Canis lupus familiaris: one gene and its partners. The protein of the gene in region 3 interacts with the protein of the main gene of each other region in a biochemical or structural test. Links are inferred from orthologs where the notes say so. Each region holds a gene or a part of one and is shown on either strand. Other genes may lie near its edges. The genes, in order: RET, ITGB1 and TLN1.

Region 1 (4,237 bases), on a different chromosome or scaffold from region 3:
AAAGGTGAACTACTGATACACACAACAACCTGGAAAGATCTGTAAGACATCATGCCAAAGAGAAGAAGCCAGGCACAAAAGAATACACATGGCATGATTCTAACTAATTTTAGGTAACAGAAAGTAGACTGTCTACCTTTTAGGGGTGGGAGGAGGCAAAGGGCTGGAAAGGGCAGGAAGGAACATTCTGGGGAATGTAGGTCCCACGTCCTGATAGCAGTGTGGGTCTTAGCTGACAATGTACAGCTAAGAGTTGTGCATTTCAACTCAGGTACATTTTCCCTAAAAACCCGATCACCAAGGGACTGTGGGTAGAGAGAGCCATGGTTGCCTCAAGGGAGAGGATGTTGACCATGGCCTTGCTGGGTTAGCTCATGTAGGACCTCACTACTCTGCTGACTTTGTGTAAGTTCAACATTTCTCATATTAAAAGGTTTTTAAAAATAGAATTTCCAATTAGGATAAATAGACGAACAATGCTTGAAAACCACTAAAACCCTGCAAATACTCTATAATGCATAGAAAGTACCCAATACACAATGCAAACATTAGAACTACTTGTGGATTTGCTCTCGTGTAGCCAATTTATCTTTTCAATAAACTTGTTTCTACCTAGACCCCACTCTTCTCATAGCTGTTGGGGTTAGCAGCCAGGCCAGTTTGCACCAACAGAGGACACTCCCAGCACCGCTTGGGTCCCCAAGGACACATTTGGGTATGGGGAATCAAGTGCCAAGTGGAATCAGGTGAAGACACCAGGTAAGCCCTTTCCAGGTCCCCAGACATGATAAAACAATAAGCAAACAGGAAGGCTGCCTGCACTGTGGAATGTTTTCCAGGATGACTTCAAAAGGCAGCCAAGGCTGCGAGTACCAACTTGGGGGGAAGCGTGCATTTGGCCCCACCTGCTCCCTGCCAGACAGGCCTGGACTGGGAAGGAGCAAGAGGGAGAGGGAGAGAGGGAGAAGGAAGCGAGGAAAAGAAGGAGAGAGAGAAGAGAGGGAGAAAGGGAGAGAAGGGAGATAGATGCTCTGGCCAGAGCCAAAGGCACTAACCCCACACTAACCACAGAGATGGAGAGAAGTGGGGTGGAGGCACGACAACATTCATAGAGTGGCCTTTCAGACCTTTGGAAAGCCCTTCTCTAGGAGAGGTCTTCTTGGAGTGGGACCTAGAATTACTTGGTCCCTGTGGGTGCAGTTCAGAGAGGCCCTCCAAGGAGCCTGCCCTGTGCTCTGAGCTAAGGTTTCTTGGGGGGAGGATCTACTCCAAAGTGTCACATTGGCTGCCATTCAAGGGGGAGGCAACTTATGGAGCGCCATGAAGTCACACTGGGGAGGGAGTGCTGAGACCATGCTTCCCCCACCCTGGGGTCTCACCAGCAGACACTATGGGCAGGAGCTAGCTTGAATGCCACCTGAATCTCCCCACATCCTCCCCACTGGCCAAGAGGACACAGGTTCTCAGATGCACTCAGGGCTGACCTCCTTGGGATTCAGTGGCTGACAGATAACAGGGACAGGAGGGCAGCTCAGAGAGCTGTAATGGCTGCTGGCTTCTTGCTGCTCCTGCTGAAGGGCAGCTGAAGACACGAGCACAAGGCTGAGCTGAGTGATGGGCCATGGCTGATAGGTCCTTGGAGGGTCCCTGCACAGGTAGGATCCTTCCCAGAGGCTTGCATGTCCCATGAGAGGCATTCACACACCTCACAGAGTGGAGCCCTAAAGGGGACCCTACTGACTCATCAAGTCATGGCTCAGACAAAGACAGAAATGCTCCCTGTGTGTGAGGAGCCACCCACAGGGAGGGGACAGTGGTAGAGGAGTCCCAGATGGGGCTTGGCAGCCACTTCCCACCAGGAGTGTGCCAGAGCCTGCTCTGTGCTGCCTAGCAGGGTGACTCCTGGCTTGTGCTCCTCAGCGGGGCCATCCAGTCTCTCTGATATTATAGGGGCTCCCAACCCATGGCAGCATTCCAGCATGGCCAAGTCCTGGAAGGCAGGTTCAGAAGGGGAATCAGAGCCACGCACAGCACTGCTGCTCCACAACAGGGGACTGGATCATGAGCAGCAGCCAGCTAGGCTTCCTTGCCATCCAACATTCCATGAAGGTTCCACAAGTCAGAGCATCCAGCAGGAGCTCAAAGTGAGGGCTGGGGCAGGGGGTGTTAGGGAAGGTGATATTCACTGCCCCACGGACAGAAAGAATGACTCTCTTCCCCCCACAACCTTCTGAAGATGCTGGCCCCCTGCAGGCTGCTGCTGCCTCTCAAAGGTGGAGTGTAGGCTGAGCACAACCTGGTTGGATGGCTCTGGGAGGCAACACAGGACAAGGCTAATCCTCCATGCATACATGTTGACCTTCCATCTCTCCACAGCTCCAGACAGACAGTGTCAGGACCACTGCTTCGCAAACACAGACAATGAGGCAGAAAGAAAGTTTATTTGCTCAAGGGTATGCACATAAGACAGCAAGAGAACTGGAATTTGTAATGCAGTCTTTTCAAAGAGGCACATCCTTCACCAGCGCACTCAGCTCCCTGGGCCCCCACAGCGGCCATGCTCTTGATCCCCAGCTGACCATGCCTGGGCCCCCACTGAGGTAGCCCTGCCTGCTGGGACAGGCTTTACTCCCCTATAAAGCCTTGAGCGGTGATTAAGCCTTACTGCAAGTCAAGAATATCAACTCGAGGGGAAGACAGTCCTAATGACCCACCAACTCTCTGGGCAGCTTGGCATTTCTGGGCACAAAAAGGAGGAAAGACTGACTCCCAGTGGTCTTACGGGGTGGTGGCCAGGGGCAGCCTGGACTTGTGACACCAATACTAGGTCAATACCAGGTAAGGAGGGAGGTCAGCCCAGACAAATGCTGCCCCTACCCTGGCAGAAGGGCACGAACCAACCCTTAATGATCCGAGATGCTGCCATTGTGCCTCAATTCTCAGCGCTGCAAGGAGTGCTACCAGTCCATAAGACTGGACATAGACCAGGCAGCCTGTGTCTTCCAGAGCCTGTGTCTTAGTGTGCCTGACTGGTCCAGGGAGAGAGGTGAGGTCTGTGCTCTTGCCCCCAGAGGACCAGCGAGGGGACTCTGCATATCCACAGAGCTTACATCTTGAGGAGGCAACACAGTCTCTGCCAGCACCTTCTCTCAGGACACACATTCCTGGCCCTGGTCAGCAGAATAGAACTGAGTAAAACTTGGCTGTTCTTGGAGCCACTGTGGGGAGGGTTTCTCAGGTGGCTCTGGTGACACCTGGGGGCTGGAGGACAGCAGTCAGGTCTGGTCAGGGGGATACTCTACCCAGAGTGTCCTACCCTGCTGGGTAGATAGGAGCAGCCCCAGAACAGGGCTCCCTTCTGGGGGAGCCTCTTTGACTGTACAGTGGTACAGGGGCTAGGAGGCAGGAGATCCCAGCTCCCAGAGCTCCCCACCCCCGAGCTGGTACAGTTCCACCCATGCAGACCACATGTCCAGGAGAGAATGGGCCCTGCTTGCTCTCTCTCACAGAGCCCAGCCCTACAGGATCCATGTGGGGCCCAGGCGATTGCTGCCAAAAGGGGTTTGTGGGTCGGGCAATGATTGTGAGCAGAAACAGACTTACATGCACTTAAAATACCTCCCAGGTGGTCCCTGTAGCTGGGTATAGCTCCCTTAATGCTCCGGTATGTCACAGACACTTCTAGATGGAAAAACACATGGTCCAAGGCAGGAAACTGAGGAGGAGGGTGCAGGGCCGGCTTCAGGTGGGCACAGCCTGGGCAGGCCCAAAGGGATTAATGCCCTGATGTCACTGTTTTGAAATTCGTCACAATTCTAGAACAAAGGGTCTGGATCTTCATTCTACACTGGGCCCCATGAATGATGCAGCCACTCCTGGCAAGTGGATGAGGAGAGCCTGGGATGGGCCACTGGTGTTCATTTTCACAGTGTGCCAGCCTCCACTGTGTCTCAGTTTCTCCAGCTGCAAATCAGAGAAGGGCATGCTGGGAGAGGAGCAGACAGGGCAGGTACAAGCAGGCCTCACCTTTGCATAGGTATGTACTCCACAGAACTCATACTTCAGATTCACAGCTGCTGTGTGTAGATCCCTTTACTACCCCATTTCACAGTTTGGAACACTGTGGCTGGGAGGTAAGAATCTCGGGGTTTGGTACAATGGCTAACAAAGTGGCAGTGGGCATCAGACACTGGAGTCAGTCAGCCCACCAGGAGGCTTGCTGCTGGCCCTTTCTGCC
Region 2 (3,647 bases), on a different chromosome or scaffold from region 3:
TCAGGGGTGGAGGAGCCTCATGCAGTGGGCTCTGCATATGCTCTCTGCTCTGTATCAGCAGCAATATTAGCACTGTAAAAAGAGAAGCTAAGAAGAAAGTATAGAATGAGGTTAAAAGTACAATGGGAGCCTATGTGAGGATTATAGCTTTATGTACAGTGATGTGGATAGCATTTATAAATTGAAATCTTTTTCTTTTCAAGTCATTGATTGGCTGGAGGAATGTCACACGGCTGCTGGTGTTTTCCACAGACGCTGGATTTCACTTTGCTGGAGATGGCAAACTTGGTGGCATTGTTTTACCAAATGATGGACAGTGTCACCTGGAAAATGATGTGTACACAATGAGCCATTATTATGTGAGTGTTGAATTCCTTACATATTGAATGGATTCCTGTGGAATTTTGGTGTTTAATACTAAAAGTATTGTGGGTAGGGATCTCCGGGTGGCTCAGCGGTTTAGCGCCTGCTTTTAGCCCAGGGCGCGATCCTGGGGTCCTGGGATTGAGTCCCGCATCAGGCTCCTTGCATGGAGCCTGCTTCTCCCTCTACCTGTGTCTCTGTCTCTCTCTCTCTCTCTCTCTCTATGTCTATCATGAATAAATAAATAAAATCTTAAAAAAAAAAAAAAAGTATTGTGGGTGACTGGCTTACAAGTTTTACAAGGTTTGAGGGTTTGTTATTTTGGTAAGTACAACCCCTAACCTAACATGCAAGGAAGCTAGTATTGCTATGTCTGAAGATGTGTTTTGTGTTTGCTTTCTGCTGCATAGACAAGGGCCTCAGTCGGTGAAAGGAGCTGCTTGAACACTCTTATTCTGTTTCTCAGCACATCGCTGTGTTTCTTGTCTTTGCACACATCATTTGATAGCAAATTTGACATTTCTAAACAGATAATTTGTAAAGGCCTATACTCTTCATCTTATTTATATAAGATTTTTGAAAGTAGGTACTCTCCTTTTATTGAAAACAAAGACTGGCAAATTATTCAAGTTCTACAAGAAATCTAAACCTTAGTGAATTTTGGTGATTTATGATACAACCTGTAGTTACTGGCAGTTCTTTACTTTCATTTTTCTAACACTTACTATACATAGATCTTGCTTTTTAAAACCTTTTTATTGTGGAAGTTTCTATACATACAGAAGATACACACCCACATGTATATGGAAGATAGAAGATTACACACCCACATGTACACACCTCCCACCTCAGCAATTATTTGTGTTATTTCAGGCAGTTTTGTGTAAGTAATCCAGTTATATATGCAAATTATTATTTTCAAAAAGTATGGAAAAACTGGAATACATTGGAGGTAATTACTTACTAAATTTTATTTAATTTCTTAGGATTATCCTTCTATTGCTCACCTTGTCCAGAAACTAAGTGAAAATAACATTCAGACAATTTTTGCAGTTACAGAAGAATTTCAGCCCGTTTACAAGGTAAGTATGTATGTATGGGATAAAAAGAGGAACTAGTGGGCATCTGGGTGGCTCAGTGGTTGAGTGTCTGCCTTTGGCTCAGGGTATGATCCCAGAGTCCTGATATGGAGTCCTGCATTTGGCTCCCAGGAGGAAGCTTCTCCCTTTGCCTATGTCTCTGCCTCTTTCTCTGTCTCTCTCATAAATAAATGAATTAAGGGATCCCTGGGTGGCTCAGCGGTTTGGTGCCTGCCTTTGGCCCAGGGTGCAATCCTGGAGTCCCGGGATCGAGTCCCACGTTGGGCTCCTGGCATGGAGCCTGCTTCTCCTTCCTCCTGTATCTCTGCCTCTCTCTCTCTCTCTCTCTCTCTCTCTCGGTCTATCATAAATAAGTAAATAAATCTTTAAAAATAAATAAATAAATAAATAAATAAATAAATAAATAAATAAATAAATAAATAAATAAATAAATAAAACCAGCTTCTAGACCCTTCATGTCTAGTCTTTAGGCAAAATCATATGTCTGAATTGAAATATAGGAAAGTGTTAGTAACCAGACTGACTGGATTTTACAGTAGTGGTTTATATTAATTTTTAATCACAAATAAAACTAGTTTTATTATATTTGACTCCTTAAGTTATTTAGGAAATGGCTAGGATGCTCATACTTAAGTTTGTGTGTTTTTTTTTTTTTTTCATGCTCAGTAAATGCTAATTGGTTGAATCAATAATATTTGTACCTTACATGTTTTATATTTTAATTTCAGGAACTGAAAAATTTGATCCCTAAGTCAGCAGTAGGAACATTATCTGCAAATTCTAGCAACGTAATTCAGTTGATTATTGATGCCTACAACGTAAGTATATTCTAAATAAGATCTCTTTTAGACAATACCCTCTTGAGAATAATTTACCAAAGAAAGTAAAACTCCTTTCATTTACAATTTAGTAAGCTCAGAGGACAAAGTAAAGGAACATTTTACGTATCTGGAAGAAAACATTTTATATTCTATAAAAACCAAATTATTTATAATCTGAGCAGAGCAAAAATACGATAATTGGGGTGGGGAAGGTTTCTAAATGTCTTGTTTGATGTCATTAAAAAGGTTTTCTTGTTGGAAAACAATTCACTTGTTTGAGGATATAAACAATAACTTATAACAATATGTAAGGTATATACTGGATATATACAAGGATATAAACAATAACTTATAAACATAACTTATATTTAAATGTATAAGATTACCTCAATCTGCCCACCGCATTATTTTTTATAGATTCATCTTTTTTGCTGAATTATTCTGGAAAAGCTTTTTTGTCAAGTCTTTTCTTGTTATGTATTCAGAGATATAGTTTTCTATTCTCAAGAGATACACATGCCATAAAATACGTACATATGTAAATATATTTGACTTACCTGTTTTAAAAAGATGTGTAAAATTTTTTTCCCCCACACATGGAAGGAAGTTGAGTTGTCTAGAGCTCTAATTCTGAGTATGTTTAGTGATGCTTGTTAAGCATTGGTGAATAACCATTTTAAGTAGTCAGAAGACATCGGTAACCATTGTGTGTCTACCCCTCACCCTTTTGACAGGTTGAATTTTAGATAATTTTTACCTCATGCCCGGGTTTCCCAAAATGTTTCGGAAAAACCCTACTCACAGAGACAGAGAGGTTGTTTTTTTTTTCTTTTTTTCTTTTTAAAAGATTTTATTTATTTATTCATGAGAGACACACACAGAGAGAGGCAGAGACATAGGCAGAGAGAGAAGCAGGCTCCATGAAGGGAGCCCGATGTGGGACTCGATCCCGGGATTCCAGAATCACGCCCGGGCCAAAGGCAGGCGCTCAACCGCTGAGCAACCCAGGCGTTCCGAGAGGTTTTTTATTACAAAGATTTTTAAGACTCCAGTTGTTCTCTGTCTTCCCTATAGTTGTTCTCTATCTTAATAGAGTATTGCATATTTTCCTAACTCGCATGTAGATATGTGACTAAGAGACAGCTTGCTGCTGACCCTTCTCCATTTTTCCTGAGTGATCTGATAATTCTAAAAAAACACACTGGTTTGAGTCATTCATACTCAGGGTTTTGGGTTTGTTTGTGTTTTGTTTTTGTTTTTTGTTCTGTTTTTGTTTTTGTTTTTGTTTTTGTTTTTTGGCCCAGTCTGTAATGGCTCCTAAGCAGATTTGTTCCCAGACTATATAGTCAGTTGTTTATCTCTA
Region 3 (3,647 bases):
TTGTTCTTTCCTTTCATCTTTTCCTGTGAGGCAGAGGCTGTCTTTGGTATGGTGGCCAGAGATATCAGACAAGGAGTGAATGAGCAGATCCTATCTAGACCACCAGGGGGTGCTAAGGATTGTGGGAGAGCCAAACAGGGGTTGGGGGGGTGGGGGCGCTGAGGTGGGGGTGGTGTCTGCAGGGAGCCACAAACTCCTCTAGGGAGAAGCAAGGGCACAGGGGCAGCAGCCAAGTGAGCAGTAGAGAGGGCTGACAACCCCACACGTTTCCACGGAGAATGGGACTCATAGGGATGATGGAAAATGTGACCAAGGGCAGGGCCAGACTTTGAGGGGAAAGGGGAAGAATGGGAATAAGGCGGACAGACTGAGAAGGGTCTGTCACCCACCTTCACCAGAAAGAAGGAGACACCATAGGTCTTGAGGGAACGGGCTAGCTTCACGTAGCGAACCTTGGCCTCGATCTCACTCATCTGCCCACAGTTCTTGTGTGCCTGAGTGGGAAATGGGGAAAAACGTTTAGCAAAACATGGGGGGATGGTGTCACAGACAAGTTGCGACGTTAACCACAATGGGAACGTACTGTGGGAGACACAGGAAAGGTTAGAGGGTGCAGGGTATGAGAAATGAGAGGGTGACAGGATGGGGGTGGACAGAGGATACACAGAAGTGACACTTCAAGGAATATAGTTAAACAACTTGCAGATGTTCTGGAGACATGAACAGATAAGTAGAAGGTCAAATAGAAGGCTTTTTGGGCTGAGTACTCAAGAAGTGGGGATAACACTTTACATTTGTACAAAGATATACTTTTCACAGTAACTTCAGGCATACTGTCTCATTTGATTCTCCTATCAATCCCACCCAGGGCAGGCACTGTCATCCCGAGTTAGAGGCAAAGAAAAGAAAACAAGAACACTGAATTGAATTCCACAGCAAATGCAGTGATGGAGCTGAAACGAAAAGCCCAGGTCTTCTGCTTTCTTGGCACAGGAGAGGTGGGAGAAGAGTTTGATGGGTGGAAGCGGGGTGGAAGGAGATAAGGAAGGGGCAGGGGTCCATTCAGTCAGTAGGATTAAGTAGCAAAGCTCCCAAAGCATCCCAAACACTTTCCCCTACCCCCATTCACCTGGAAGATCTTACGCTCTCCCTTCTGCTTCACATACTCCTTGGGCAGGAAGTCCTTCAGGCTACACCAGAAAAGGGAGGGTCAGCACGGAGTGGACAGCATCAGGGATATGTAGGCCATGGACTGTGGGCCTGGGGGCATGAGGAAATGTCTAGGACAGTGTTATCTTTGGGGAGAAGGAAGGCTCGAGGGAACAGAGTCTGGATTATCCGTGAAATCAAGATGATCTAGCATTAGCTCTTGACTGCAGCCTGTGTCTCTCCCTACAGGGGAAGGGACTGAGGGAACCTGAGTTGTAGGCTGTCCCTGAGGGAAAGAGGGTCTAGAGCACTACCACAGGAAACCAGGAGGAGAAGGAGCTCAGTAGGAGAATGACCATGCACATAGAAAGCTAAGCAAGCCACGCTGAACTCTACACATTCTGAGGAGTATCAGTGGATGAGACTTGTGAAGCTTTCTAAGTCTGTGTTCCCTGGGAGGAGAAATGTACTGTTTTCCTGTGGCTACTGCAGTGAAATTCTTCAGAGAAGCTCAAAAAAGTTCCATGCTTGCTTGAGAGGTACGGGGTAGAGGCAGAGATTCTGGACTACATTCATACTCCACATGGGACCAGTGAGGAGGTATATAGCTGACGGCAGCAAAAACGGTACCCATGTGGGTCAAACCCTGGGTGCATCGGAAGAGGAAACAGAGAGAGAAGGCCTGGTGGGGGTGGGGGTGGGCAGGACTGTTGAGGTTGCAACGGCAGTAAGTCCTGGGCCCTAACAGGGTGTGGGATGCAGGTCACTCACTCAAGGAAGCCAGCCTTGTGCTTCTGCTCATTGTGGGGCCCAAACTGGATCTGGCATTGGAAGCCAGCAAACTCACAGGCCTTGTCGAAGGAGACAGGGTGGGAGCCATTGAGGATGTCATCTCGTGCCTGGAGGACACATGGCAGCAAGTGTTGTGTGTGGGTGTGGGATGCCCTCGCAGTGCCTCTGCCCCCCTCCCTACCTCCCTTAGCCCAGGCAAATCCTCTCCACACCTGCACATAAAGGAGGTTCAGCTGTACAGGGTCCCGGGAGTCCACATTCTGGTCTGAGTAGAAGAACTTCCTCCGCAGCAGAAGTGTCTCATGCTCCTCCACCCCCTGTTCCCTCAGCGTGCGGCCATGGTCCAGCCAGTTCACTGGGACACACAGAGTCCCCTCAGTGCCAAGCCCCTAGGGTGCCTGTGGTGTCTGGTCTCTGGCTTTTTGTTTGTTTGTTCTTTATCTCCTACCTTCTCTTACCAATAAGTTCTGAGTGTAGGACTTTATTACTGATGCATCCTGTGTCTAAAACAGTGTCTTGCAAAAGCAGGTATTCAATAACTAACCAATCAACAGTTGCCCCCACCCCCACCCCTTTCCCCCAACCATTTCCAGGGCCCTCTTTTTTCTCTTTCTGCTTACACTCATCATCTGTGTGCAACTTCTGCTTTAGTTTCTCCATCTTCTTTTCATCTCGCAGCAGTGTCTTATCTTTTCGTAAGGTTCCTGTTACCTCCTCCTTTTTCTCTTCCATCAGCTCTCGAACCAGGGAATATTCATCATGGTTGGTGATGCCTGGGGGAGGGCGAGGGATTGGTTGCATCCTGGGCATGGCATACTTGTTTTTTGGTAGAGCTGAAGCCTCCATTCCTGAGCCCTCTGCCCCACCGAGACCCCTTACCAATGCGGGCACAGATGGTCATGAGCATGTCGGTGACAGTCTTAGAGTCATCCACCATGATAGTCTTCACAGTTCCATCGAGCATACGGATTTTCAGGGGCCTCTGTTTCTTCCTGTACTCCATGGTGTCCTGTTGGGGCAGGAATAGGAGGAGGGGCCCACTTGAAGCTGGAGGTACTACTTCCTTTTTCCACAGCCAGACGGGGGGGGGGGGGGGGGGGGTGGGAAGGTAGGTGACTAAAAGCAAGACTGTGGTGGCTCACTCAAAAGCAGGGTAATTTGATTGCCTGTGATAAAAAGCCTGGAGAGGGTCAGAGACAACAGGTATAGGTACTGAAAACAGGAGGTGAAGTCAGGGATGCTGATGGAAGAGAATGTTGGCGGCCCTTGCTGAAGTGATACTCACCCCATTGCGGAGCATGTAGTAATCCAAAGCTTTCCCGGCCTCCAGCCATATACCTTTTTTGGGGTCATCATCTGACAGGAATAGCCCAAAGTCGCTGGCTGAAAGAGAGGTTGGATTCCCTCAGACTCACGAGGACCCCAGTGTGGCTGAACAGCTGCTCTGTTGCCCCTTACTATTTCCCCAGGGCCTGAGGGCCTAAAGGGGAGAGAGGGAACCATGGAGCACAGGCCTGAGGGATGTGTAGCCTTGAGGGACAACGGGGTCATCCCTTAAAGCCAAGAGCCTGGGAACAAGGGACTTTCCCCCACCTGCCACCGGGGTACTCAGACTTACGAGGGCCAGCCAGGGCCTCTGGGATGCGCTCACGAATGATGCGACAGGCATCATACACCATGGTGGATGGCTCAAACTGCATGGTCTT

The links.
Region 1: the proteins of TLN1 (region 3) and RET interact in a surface display test, tested with the Homo sapiens proteins (2 studies listed by BioGRID and IntAct, with this or other methods). The link is inferred for Canis lupus familiaris from reciprocal best matches to the Homo sapiens genes TLN1 and RET.
Region 2: the proteins of TLN1 (region 3) and ITGB1 form a complex in vitro, tested with the Homo sapiens proteins (3 studies listed by BioGRID and IntAct, with this or other methods). The link is inferred for Canis lupus familiaris from reciprocal best matches to the Homo sapiens genes TLN1 and ITGB1.

Annotation. Positions count from the first base shown.
Region 1 is NC_049249.1:4,128,475-4,132,711, forward strand, and holds the start of RET (proto-oncogene tyrosine-protein kinase receptor Ret), read right to left. Parts: upstream 2,927-4,237; coding exon 2,878-2,926; intron 1-2,877. UniProt on the Homo sapiens protein: Receptor tyrosine-protein kinase involved in numerous cellular mechanisms including cell proliferation, neuronal navigation, cell migration, and cell differentiation in response to glia cell line-derived growth family factors (GDNF, NRTN, ARTN, PSPN and GDF15).
Region 2 is NC_049223.1:3,966,577-3,970,223, forward strand, and holds part of ITGB1 (integrin beta-1), read left to right. Parts: intron 1-203; coding exon 204-359; intron 360-1,349; coding exon 1,350-1,445; intron 1,446-2,191; coding exon 2,192-2,281; intron 2,282-3,647.
Region 3 is NC_049232.1:52,545,339-52,548,985, forward strand, and holds part of TLN1 (talin-1), read right to left. Parts: coding exon 3,560-3,647; exon of another isoform or gene 3,325-3,559; coding exon 3,227-3,324; exon of another isoform or gene 3,084-3,226; intron 2,951-3,083; coding exon 2,821-2,950; intron 2,715-2,820; coding exon 2,562-2,714; intron 2,297-2,561; coding exon 2,154-2,296; intron 2,049-2,153; coding exon 1,921-2,048; intron 1,191-1,920; coding exon 1,130-1,190; intron 495-1,129; coding exon 390-494; intron 24-389; coding exon 1-23. UniProt on the Homo sapiens protein: High molecular weight cytoskeletal protein concentrated at regions of cell-matrix and cell-cell contacts. Involved in connections of major cytoskeletal structures to the plasma membrane.